Linked DNA regions of Rattus norvegicus. The protein of the gene in region 1 interacts with the protein of each later gene in a pairwise test. Links are inferred from orthologs where the notes say so. Each region holds a gene or a part of one and is shown in the gene's direction. Other genes may lie near its edges.

What was found.
Region 2: the proteins of Creb1 (region 1) and Crtc1 interact in binary tests that used the Homo sapiens proteins (3 or more experiments, as listed by UniProt). The link is inferred for Rattus norvegicus from reciprocal best matches to the Homo sapiens genes CREB1 and CRTC1.
Region 3: the proteins of Creb1 (region 1) and Tssk4 interact in binary tests that used the Homo sapiens proteins (3 or more experiments, as listed by UniProt). The link is inferred for Rattus norvegicus from reciprocal best matches to the Homo sapiens genes CREB1 and TSSK4.

Annotation. Positions count from the first base shown.
Region 1 is NC_086027.1:73,421,718-73,425,227, forward strand, and holds part of Creb1 (cyclic AMP-responsive element-binding protein 1), read left to right. Parts: exon of another isoform or gene 1-550; coding exon 551-697; exon of another isoform or gene 698-1,400; coding exon of another isoform or gene 1,401-1,442; exon of another isoform or gene 1,443-3,398; coding exon of another isoform or gene 3,399-3,407; exon of another isoform or gene 3,408-3,510.
Region 2 is NC_086034.1:19,020,862-19,025,014, forward strand, and holds the start of Crtc1 (CREB-regulated transcription coactivator 1), read left to right. Parts: upstream 1-1,348; 5' UTR 1,349-1,380; coding exon 1,381-1,506; intron 1,507-4,153. UniProt on the Homo sapiens protein: Transcriptional coactivator for CREB1 which activates transcription through both consensus and variant cAMP response element (CRE) sites.
Region 3 is NC_086033.1:33,110,229-33,114,538, forward strand, and holds Tssk4 (testis-specific serine/threonine-protein kinase 4), read left to right. Parts: upstream 1-1,505; 5' UTR 1,506-1,637; coding exon 1,638-1,862; intron 1,863-2,197; coding exon 2,198-2,412; intron 2,413-2,734; exon of another isoform or gene 2,735-2,765; coding exon 2,766-3,159; intron 3,160-3,432; coding exon of another isoform or gene 3,433-3,477; exon of another isoform or gene 3,478-3,578; coding exon 3,579-3,764; 3' UTR 3,765-3,855; downstream 3,856-4,310. UniProt on the Homo sapiens protein: Serine/threonine kinase which is involved in male germ cell development and in mature sperm function. May be involved in the Cre/Creb signaling pathway. Phosphorylates CREB1 on 'Ser-133' in vitro and can stimulate Cre/Creb pathway in cells.

The DNA of each region.
Region 1 (3,510 bases):
AATATTCTTTCAGCTCTGCTCCTTTATTCATCCAAAATGAAAACATGTCTTAAAATCCACCTGTTACCAGATTAGTGTTTTTTATGAATAGGAGAAATTGAAAATTTTAATTACAATGCATTTGCTTTCTTGTTAAAAACATATTTGTAATTAGTCTAAATGTGTTGTTCTGAACTTAGTAAGTTCTTATTGCCCAGACTGGAAAAGTTAAGATTTTAAAACATGGTTTAATATCAGGGTGTTCTGAAAACTTGTGTGCTTAAGGCCAGCATGTCTGTTGTTGACATTGGGTGAATCAGTCTCGGCATATTTTTGTCTTTAAGTAAATATAATCCTTATTACTCAGCCTTTAATTTAAAAAGAAAGAAAGAAAGCTTGAATATAAAAAGCAGGCAGGAAAGAGTTTTAAATTGTTGGTTTCTTGCACATTGTTAAAATATGTATTAAGTAGGAAGGTCATAGTTTTGCTTATTAGAAGTCACTTTATGTTAAACCTGAGTAGTCCCACAGAGGTTGCTGTGGTGGTCATTGCTTTCCGTGTTTTCTGTAGGTATCCATGCCAGCAGCTCATGCGACGTCATCTGCTCCCACTGTAACCTTAGTGCAGCTGCCCAATGGGCAGACAGTCCAGGTCCATGGGGTCATCCAGGCGGCCCAGCCATCAGTTATTCAGTCTCCACAAGTCCAAACAGTTCAGGTATGTGTGCGACAAGCTCTATATGTACTTCAATAACTTGTTTGTAGCCATTTCTGTCTCCTTTCATTAGTTGTGAAAATAAGGACACATTAGTTTAGATTTATTTTGCTTGGTAGTAAAGGAGTATGTTGAATCTGCATAGTTCAGTTATATATGCCAAGTCATATCTAAAGAAAATTACTTTTTTTAAGCTTCAAAAGAAAAAGCATTTATTTAGAGAGATAGATATTAATACATGTGATAAGTGGAAATGTTGGGAAACACTGTAAGACTGATGTACCTAAATTAAGGATAATCAACTTAAAATGAGACGAAGTTTGTATGGGGAAAGGGTTGCTAAAGATTAATTAATAGTCTTACCTGAGATAAGATTTGTACTAGAGATCACATCAGACATCGAATTGTCTGTTGAACTTTTAGGTAGAGTATGTAACTCTGAAATAATACAGTATCTAGAAGGTACATCATGAGGGTCATTGATTGTATCACATATCTGATTCTTTGGAGAGGTTGCTCCTTTGGGGTAAAGGGAATAAAGGCATTCTAGACATCTGAAGAGGACTACTTAGGTCTAGGGACCCAAGAGCAGTAACAGGACAATTCTTTGCAGATCAGCTAATTGAAGGAAAAGCGAGCAAAGACTAAACATTCATGCAAGTAGGCCATAACCCCAGCCTCCCGTTTCATATTTTTTACTTCACAGTCTTCCTGTAAGGACTTAAAAAGACTTTTCTCCGGAACTCAGGTGAGTCCTAGGTACTAGATTTGAAGAAAATTACTTTTAGAAAGGAAGGTGAGAAATTATGTATGTCTTTGTCCTTCTCTGTGAACATGGAATTTCAGGGTTTGAGTCCAACTGTACGCCTCTGTTGCACTGCTCACTGCTTAGTTACTGCTCAGGTCTCTAACAGCTCTCCTCCAGCTGATAGCCAGCCCAGAATGCACGAACACCTTGTGAAAAGGAAGCTGTACCTCCTGAGGACTGGACAGTTAGACATGAAGCCTAACTGCTGAAATACTGTGTAGTTAGACAGAGAATGCCTTTCTAAAATGGGGACCTGCTGACCACAGGAACTAAGCAAATCTAACTGTTTCTGTCAAACTTCTTCCTTTCCCTTCTTTCCCCACACTCTTCCTACTATACAGAAACATATCAAGATTCAACAAGCTTCTATTTTTCTTCAGCATTTATTATATGGTATATGTTTAATTTCTCTTGCTCAGCCTTGGCTGTTTTCTAGAGTGGATCTGCTGTGTTTTTCTTGTATGGTAGCCAGAACTGACTGATATTTTCACGAAGAGGAAAGGTGCTTGCTCCTTTGTCCTGGAACCAGGCTGTTCTTGTCATTAAACCCACATCAGGTTTCGTCAGCATTATGTCAAGCTGTAGAGTTGATGTTACCTCCTCTACTTTTTTCTTCCCTTTGTACTTCTGGTTTGCTTTAACACTTTCAGGGTAGAGAACTGTTGTCCGGTGAATTTCCTGAAGATACTAGGAATGGACATTACTAACAAGCAGTGACAGTATTAGCCAAGTCAAAGCCTCGTTTTGAGAAACCACAGTGATAAGTAGTCCTGTGACTTAGCCTGTATTTTAGGGAATACAGTCTTGCCATCCTCCATATGATCTCAGCACTAACTCCATACCTGCATTCTTCTCTAGAGCTTGGCCTGCTAGTCAAGAGTTTTAGAGACCAGACCCATTTTGGATAGTAATAGGTCAAGTGATGCTGAGCACAAATCACCCTTACTTCTCTTTCACTTACAGAAAGTTTTTGCTATTACAAAATACATAATACAGTTTTTAATTAATAGAATATGATATTTAATTGTGCCTTTATTCTTACTTTTATTCTTATCTTGGGGCAAAATAATTTAAACTCAAGTATTAAATGTCCTTAACTTTGATAGAAATCTGGGTTTGTCTTTTCAAGAATAACATTTTTATCACAGTGAGCTATGCTTATAACTTTAAAAATACATGTTTGAAAAAGGAAACCTGGACTCCTGAAAGTCTGGACTGTATGGAGATGTAATGTGTGTTTCTTTTTCATGAAATATGCTAAACCAGGAGAATGTGTTAAACTTGCATGGTTATTTGAGCCAGCTACCAGTGGTTAGTGTTAATAACTAGGAAGTAGTGGCTTACAAGAGGTTATTAAACAGGGTGAGGTATCCTTCAGACTTACAGATGATAGAGTGTTAGTGTTATATATAAAGTTTCCAAAACATACAAGGTATGTGTCTCCTAGTGAGAGAATAAGAATAGTAGGACTTCTGCTGATGTATTTCAATATAATAATATTGGAGACTGAGCTGTATTAATTAATATTCTGTGTACAGCTTCACTTTACTGCCTTAATTTATTCTTGTATGTATAAACCACATCTCACAGATGATGTGAGAATTCTTGCAAAAATGACAGCAGTTACAGCAGTTTCACAGTGTATACAGGGTTAGTAGTGGCACTTACCAGTTTGGACCACATTTCAATATAGTGCTGTCTAAATGTACCAGAAAAGATTCATAGATTTTATGAGTGTAAATTATGACATCCATTTCTTCAACAAATGTTTATTGATCACGTGCTATGTGCCAGTCATTGTTCTAGGTGCTATGAAAGGCAGCAGTGAGCAAACAGTACATCTCTGTTCTCATGAAGATCACACTTGAGTGAAGAGACACACTATGAGAAAATAAAATGTGTCAGGTGAGGATAAGTGCTGCAGAGTTAATAAAACAAGGGAAAGGGTAGAGCAAGATGCAAAGGGAAGTATGCTGTAATTCATTCAAGGTGGTTGGGGAGCACAGTG
Region 2 (4,153 bases), on another chromosome or scaffold:
CAGCACTGCATGTGTGTCTGTGTGTGTACATGTGTACAGAGGACGGTGTCTGGTGTATTTTTCTAATCCCTTCTATCAGTTCCTTAGAGGCAGAGCCTCTCACTGAACTTGCAGCTCATCTTTCAGTAGAATGATTGGCCAGTTCCTATCTGCAGTTCGCTAACACGGAGGTCACAGGCACCCATGGCCATGCCCAGCTGGAGATTTGAACTCAGCTCCTCCTACTTGGTACAGTCAATGCTATTATGACGGAGCCTTCTCTAAAGTTCTAATTTTTTTCATTTGTTTTTTTGTTTTGTTTTGTTTTGTTTTGTTTTCCTGAGAGAGGGTTTCTCTGGGTAGCCCTGATGGTTCTGGTAATTGCTTTGTAGACCAGGATGGCTTTGAACTCACAGAGAACTGCCTGCCTCTGCTGGGTTTAAAGGCACGTGCCACCATGCCTGTCCTTAGCTCTAATTGTAAATTTAAAAAAATTTGCTTATGCATCTGTGTGTGTGCACATGCTACATATGTATTTAACTTCTTGCCGAGGCCGGAGGAAGGCATTAGATACTTTAGAACCAGAGTGAGCTGCCCCACGGAATCACAAAGTCACCCTTAATCTCTGAGCCATCTCTCATCTCTCCAGCCCCCTCTTTTCTTTCTTTTTTTTCTCTAATCTCAGTGTCATGTGTCACAGGATGGTTTGAACTTCCCATCCCCCTGGCTCCAGCTGGTTCAACCATCACACTCAGCACTGTCCTTGCAGAAGGCGCAACACTTCTACCATCTGAAGCCTTATTATAATTGTGTGTGTGTGTGTGTGTGTGTGTGTGTGTGTGTGTGTGTGTGTGTGTGTGTGTGTTGCTGGGGACCGAACCCTGGCTTCTGCCTGGGAACTCTCCCCAGGACCCCTGCCTCCATTCCTGGTAGGAGGCTTGCTCCCCTCCCCGGCTGTGTACCCCATTAGCCCAGGAACCACTTCTGTTTGCTCACGCCTGTGCCCTGGTATACAGCAGACGCTCTACAAGTCCTCAGTGAATGCTGGATTCCAGTGAATGCAGGTATCAGTTCTTCGCCACTCAAGTCCCTGGTTGATGGGACAGGACCCACAACTAGGCGACCGCTGTCCAGCGGGCCACGCGCGCTACCGTGCGCCTGCGTAGCCACTCCCCTCCCGGGCTCCCAACGCACTGCCCAGGCAGCGCAGGCGTATTCACCTACACCCCCCACCTCCGCGCCTCATGCCTCTCCGGTGCGCCTGCGCTACGCTCTGGGCCATGCATGCGCCTGCGCGTTGCTCTCCGGCCGTGGGCCCGGCCGGCGCCTGCGCTGTGGCGCCCGCGAGTGGGGGGGCGAGGAGGTGGAGGAGGAGTAGGAGGAGGAGGAGGCGGCGAGAAGATGGCGACTTCGAACAATCCGCGGAAATTTAGCGAGAAGATCGCACTGCACAACCAGAAGCAGGCGGAGGAGACGGCGGCCTTCGAGGAGGTCATGAAGGACCTGAGCCTGACGCGAGCCGCGCGGGTGAGAGCGCGGGGGAGGGGAGGGGAGGAGGGAGGGGAGGAGGAAGAGACGCGGGGGCGGGGCTGCGGCCGCCGCAGGTGTCCCCACGCCGCCAGCCGGTGCAGAGCGGCTGCTCGCGAGATTGCTCTTTGGACTGGACAGGTGGTCCCATCGCAGCTACCTGAGGGGACAGGTGTCATCTATTATTGTTGCCGGAGGGGACATGTGCCCTCTTCATAGCTATCAGAATGGACACGTGTCACCCCCCTGATTGCTACCTGATGGTACAGGGACTCCATCATTGCTACCTCATAGGACCTACGACTCCATCATTGCTACCTGGTGGGGCAGGTGTCATCCTTCATTGCCACCTGTGGGGATAGGTGGCCCCACCATTGCTACCTTCAGGGATAGTTGTTCCCGTTGTGTTATCTATGTGGATAAGCGGCCCCATTGTTGCTACCTGAGGGTATAGTTGTCACCCTTTATGCTTAGTGGACAGGTCTCCATTATTGCTACCTGAGTGGACGGTTGTCACCCTTCATTTCTACTTAAAGGAGAGGTGTCCCTTCATCGTTATCTGAGGCACAGTTGTCACGCCTTTGCCACCTGAGGAGGAGGTGATACTGTAGCATCATCACCTGTTCCTTCCTTGGGTGCTCCTACTTCTGCGTGGAGCAGATGTTATCCCTCTTGGGTAGCTGAGTGGTCTTCCATGTTTGGAATCAGCATAGAGGTGGTTGCTTGGTTCCCATGCAGCCTCTGTGCTGGGGACCAGGCTGTGGGCCTCTATTCATGACAGGGAACAGCTGCCACCAGACTGAGATGGAGGGTGTAACTGCCTCAGGTGGCTGGGCCATTTGACAAGCATGTCTGGCCTTGCTGGGTTCTTGGCCAAATGGAGTGGACGTGGGACCTGATCCTTTCATGTCAAGTGTGTGGTGTCAGATGTTCCTCAAGGGTCAAGGAGGTGATGCTGCAGTGTGGCATGTTCTGCACACCCTTAGGCCTGGGTTCTGAGTCCCACGTGACCTGTCAGGGGCACTTAAGTGAGGCTTTGATTCATCAGGGGCTCCTTTGGGTCAGGTGGTTTTATAATCAGGTGCTTGTTTTTCCAAGATTGTGGCATCATAGACAAAATGAGCATTTGAATGTGGTGGCTTCCTCACTTTCAACCAGACTCTGTCCCCAGAGCCCTCAGGAGGGGGGACACGTGTTCTCCCTTAGCATATTGAAAAAGGCATTGAGAAAGGGCAGTGTGTCATCTGCTGGGTGGAGATCGTGGTGCACAACTTTAATCCTAGCACTCGGAAGGCGGAGGCAGGCAGATCTCTGTGAGTTCAAGGCCAGCCTGGTCTACTGAGGGAGTTCCAGGGCAGCAGAGGTACACAGAGAAACTCTATCTCCAAAACCAAACCAAACCAAACAAAAAAGTGTGTCATCCTTGTGTCACTTAGAAGGCAGCCGAGTCTGCTTCTTGTTTCTAGCACATAGTAGGTGTCAGTATACAGTTGGTGTCAAATGTTTGCAGTGTAACCAGAGCAAAGAGCTTCATGGCTGAAGTTTTGACAGACATCTGGTTTCTTCATGGGATTGAGAGTGGAAAAGATGACTGAGGCAAGGTCTCATGTAGCACAGGCTAGCCTTGATCTCACTGAGTAGCTGAGGATGACTTTGGACACTCCTGCTTCCGCTTCCTGAGTCCTCGGAGGACAGGTCCTGAAAGGACGTACCAGCCTGGTTGGAATGTAGTTGAGAAGTAAGGTCTGTTTGTGACCCGTGGCTTCTAAATTTATTCCTTGAATCATGTGACCACACCACTGTCTTCTAGAACAGTTTTGTTGCCCTAGAGAAGCTTGGTCCTTCAGCAGCCTGAGCCACATCCCCTCCCTGTGGGTACAGCTGTTCTGGGATCACAGCCCTCTGTCTTTGTGGAGTTGGTCCCCACACTCCAACCATCCATGTCCCATTCCTCATTAATAATGCGGCAAGTTGGTGAGAGCTCGCTTCGTGAAAGTGCTGTCCACCAAGCCTGGGAACCTGAGTTCAGAATATATGTAACAGGTGGGTACAGTCACACGTGCCTGTCTCTCAGCAGTCTGAAGGCTGAGGCAGGGAGATTGCTGTGAGTGTGAGGTCTTTAACGATAGCCTAGGCCATAAAGCAAGGCAAATCTCAAAAAGAAAGAAAGAAAAGAAAAGAAGAGAGAGAAGAAAAAAGAAAGGTGTGTGGGGTGTGTGTGTAGGGGGAGCTGCTGAGGTCATGGTGTGTGTAGTAAGGTAAAGTGCTTGTCAAAAAGCCCAGGGACTTGGTCCCCAGCATGCACTGAGGCCACTGAACTCAGCCAGGAGGATATCAAGGCTCCACCCACCCCAGCCTGTCTAGCCACTCAGTGAAATGGTAGACTGGAGAGATGCTCTGTGGTACCAGCATTGGCTGAGGGCTCATGTTCATTTCCCATCATCCACAGCAGACAGTTTACAACTGCCAGTGACTCCAGCTCCAAGGGGATCTTGGGCACCTGAACTCACATGCAGCTGCACACACTACTCATAATTTAAAAATCAAAATTGGCCAGGCATGGTGGTGATGCATATCTCCGATCCCAGCAGAGGCAGGAGGCTCTCTGTGAGTTTGAGGCCAGCCTCTTCTACAGAGGGAGTTCCAG
Region 3 (4,310 bases), on another chromosome or scaffold:
CCATACACTTGTAACCCCAGAATTGGGTAGTAGAGATAAGTGGATGCAGAAAGCTCACTGGCTACCCACATTAGCCAAAATGGCAAGCTTCCAGGTCACTAGCAGATTCAAGGCTATAAGGAAGTGTGACCAGAAAACACCCAATGTCCTGCTCCGGCCTCTGCATGTGTGGACACACGTGTCCATACATAAATGCTTCAACTGGAGGGGAGCAGCAGGCTTGCAAGTGACCAGTTTATTGATAGGGGGTTGTGCTGAGCAGAAATGGCAGTGGGCATAGAGCTGTGAGTGCATTATCTTTATATGTATGGTGTATGGGTAACTATAAGAACATGCACCCGTGTTCATATGGAAGCTAAAGGAGGACATCAGATGTCCTCCATCACTCTTTGCCTTATTCCTTTGGGGCAGGGTCTTACTGAACCAGAAGTTTGCATCTCTGGAGTAGGTGGGAAGTGAGCAAACCCCAGTGATACTCTCATCCACCTTGCTCAGAGCTGGGACTGAACTCCAGTCTTCGTGCTTGAACAGCAAGAGCTCTTAACTGCTGAGTGATCTCTCTAGACCCTTCAAGGGCTTTATGAATGAAAAAAAAAATAGGTTGAAGAGACGGGATTTGGTGATATAATATATTGGATGTAGGCACGAAGGCAGACAGTGCTGGTGTGATATTTGATGTCTATGTTCAGGACAACATGGAAGTCTTAGAGTAGGAAATAGTTCAGTTTGGATAGGAATTTGAGGTGCAGAGAGAAGACATGTTCCTGTAATATTTAGTAAGCAAGTAAGCAGATAGGCACAGTCTTGAACTCCAGTAAGTATCTGGGTGGAACTGGCACAAGGAGCCATCAGAATAAACATGAAATCTTAGGGCAAGAGCCTGGGAGGAAGTGAGGGTCCGAGAAAAGGAAGCTTGTGATTTAGGCATGGACAGGGGCTTGGGAGAATGGGGGTTGACGGGAGCAAACGGAAGGCTCTAGGCTTAATCAACAGTGAAAACAAGAGAAAACTGAAAACTGGAGATGATGGTGCTCCCATGGGAGAGTGACTGAAAGGATGGGACAAACCAAGAGCATCCCCGATCATATGAAGCAAGCATGCAGGGCAAGCCTGAATTCAGACCGTGCTTCAGCACCGTGCAGTCCTGTGTACACCCTGACAAGTTTCTCACGCTGGATTATAGAAGTGTAGACACTGTTGACCTCAGTGGTTAGTTTAATGTAGTATATTCTGCATATTATCTACCACCGCATGGCAGACACCCAGTAACAAAGGGGCCACAGGGGAGACTTACCGGTTGTGTAAAGTGTCTTTTGTAATGAATATGTTCCAAATTGCACTTGGTTTCAAGCTTCGTGGCCAACAGTGAGAAAAGGTGTATGGAACTTGGGACCGTGGAAGTTCTGTAACTAAGACATGGAAGTAACAACAGCCAGCCAAGACAAAAAGAATGTTCTTTTCTTTCCCCTTCCAAGTTCTTAGTGAAGGGCCAAGCCCAGCATCCCAGACTTGTGTGACTGGGTAAACACTGGGACACTAACTTCACTTCAGTACCCTCCCTTCAGAAGCTCAAGGTGGCTTCTCGGTAGACAGAGGCTTCTAAGTATCAAAGCTCCCCACTGCGCAAGCCCAACATCATGGGGAAGGGAGACACCTCGGAAACAGCATCAGCCACTCCAGCCTATCGCTCTGTCATGGAGGAGTATGGCTATGAGGTGGGCAAGGTCATTGGCCATGGCTCCTATGGAACTGTCTATGAGGCTTACTACACCAAGCAGAAGGTCATGGTGGCTGTCAAGATCATCTCAAAGAAGAAGGCCTCTGAAGACTACCTTAACAAGTTCCTACCACGTGAGATACAGGTCAGAAAGGGAGCTGAAAGAGGGAACCGAGGCTTATTAATGAGCTCCTTGAGGTATCGGGGTGGATATGGAAACCTCCAAACCAGAACTGAATGTCTTAAGTAGGAAAATTCTGTAATATATATATATACATACATATATATATATATGTATGTATATATATATATCATATCTCCTCTTATGTGCAAACATTCAGTTTATTAACCATCCCCCCATGCAAAGTGGGATTTGCTCAGACACCAGCTGATTCTGTTGCAAAGTAGCAATGGGAGAGTGGAGAAAGGCCAGCGTAACTGGAGTTTGCCAGGTTTGATGGTTCCCTCTTTTGGGATCAGGTAATGAAAGTCTTACGGCACAAGTACCTCATCAACTTCTATCAGGCCATTGAGACCACGTCCCGAGTGTACATCATTTTGGAGCTGGCTCAGGGCGGTGATGTCTTGGAATGGATCCAACGCTATGGGGCCTGCTCTGAGACCCTTGCTGGCAAGTGGTTCTCCCAGATGGCCTTGGGCATCGCTTACCTGCACAGCAAGGGCATCGTGCACCGGTGAGGACAGTCACCGCACTGGGCTCTGGGTTCTCGAGGGAGTTTTATGCATATTGCCCATTTTCTGTCCCTTTCTCTTGACTTCTCTCGATATATACGTCCATTTGTTCACCATATTGTAGCCCTCTGGTCAAGGACACTTGTATCCACTGTGCGAGAGCACATTATACACAATGGTGAACTAGTGGTCCAAAGGTACCATCCTCTCTCCCTTTTGGGCTCTGCTCACAACTCCATGGCTTTGCTTCCTCTTTCCTTCCCATAGACCCCTCGCTCCCACTTGTCCTGTCCTCGTCTCTAGCCTCTGACCCCTTCCTTTCAGCTCCCGGTCTAATACTAAGCCCTCTCCCCAGCCTGACCCCCAGCCTTTCTGCTGCTGGTAGGGACTTAAAGTTGGAGAACCTGTTGCTGGACAAGCGGGAGAATGTGAAGATATCGGATTTTGGCTTCGCCAAGATGGTGCCTTCTAGCCAGCCTGTGCGTAGTAGCCCTTCTTACCGCCAAATGAACTGCCTTTCCCACCTCAGCCAGACCTACTGTGGCAGCTTTGCTTACGCCTGCCCGGAGATCTTGCTAGGCTTGCCTTACAACCCTTTCCTGTCTGACACCTGGAGCATGGGCGTCATCCTCTACACCCTAGTGGTCGCACGGCTGCCTTTTGATGACACCAATCTCAAGAAGCTGCTGAGAGAAACCCAGAAGGAGGTCACTTTCCCAGCTAATCTCACCATCTCCCAGGAGTGCAAGGTGCTGGCTCCCCCAGGAGGGCTGTGGCCTTAGGGATGACCCATGGGGAGGGGGAAGGAAATACCAAACTTAGGCCTTCCAACAACCCGCCCACCCCAGGGGTGGCTTTGGTCAGGCCAGAGCCGGCTCTAGCTCCTACTCAAAGTGGTGGGAAGGCCTTAGGAGGGTCAACCACTGAGCTTCAAGCCTTAAATATGCTTGGTAATGAGGTTCCAGCAATGATCCCTTTAGGGCAGAAGGGATTATGCAAGGAGCTCTTCTCTTTTCTTGCAGGGCTCCAGCATAAAACCAGGGCCCCAGCCCCCTTCACCAGAGTAGTGCGATGGGCCATCCTGCTTCTTCCTTAGGTCCAGCTGCTCAGTGCCTGTGCTCACAAAGGGGGACAAGCTCAGCCAAGCCCTCTCTCTCCCCTGCCCTAGAACCTGATCCTCCAGTTGCTACGCCCAGCTACCAAGCGTGCCACCATCCTAGATGTCCTCAGGGACCCCTGGATGCTCAAGTTCCAGTCTGAGCAACCCTCGAACGAAATCAGGCTGCTGGAGGCCATGTATCAACCCGCCAGCACCACCGCTAATCGCCACCAATCCTTGGAAATCACAACTTGAAAGTGGCTGAGGCAGGAGGTTAAGGAAAAAAGCAATAGAGACTGGGGGGAAAATCTTTTCTATAAAATAAACCTAATTAGTTTCATCATGATGTAGGGTCAAAGACATTCTTTTCTCAAGAGAGTCTTAGTGGAGACCACTACTGCAGGGTGGGTTTCTGCCCAAAGCCTGTAACCTCTTGACACCTGTGACAGTTAATGAAATTGACTCGGGGAAGCTTTACCGTGCTGACTAAGTTTGTGAGTTTGAGGCTCTTACTTCACATTTTTGTTCTCTAATGCTCTAGTGGCAGATGGGACGGGGCAGGGATGTGTGGAGACTGGGGGTGGTGGAGGAGGGGGGGGTTAGTTTTGTTTTGATTTGGACTGGCCTATATACAGTTCAAAGCCATGGCATTGTCCTTTCTGTTCTGTGTTTGCTCCTAACTTGGGTCAAAGTTTTAACTGGGAAGAAGAGTTACCAAAAGGGAACAGACAGGCCTGGTTTCTAGGGACCTCCAGTGTCACTTTAGTCACTACTGAAAGAATGGCCTCGATGCAGGGCTCC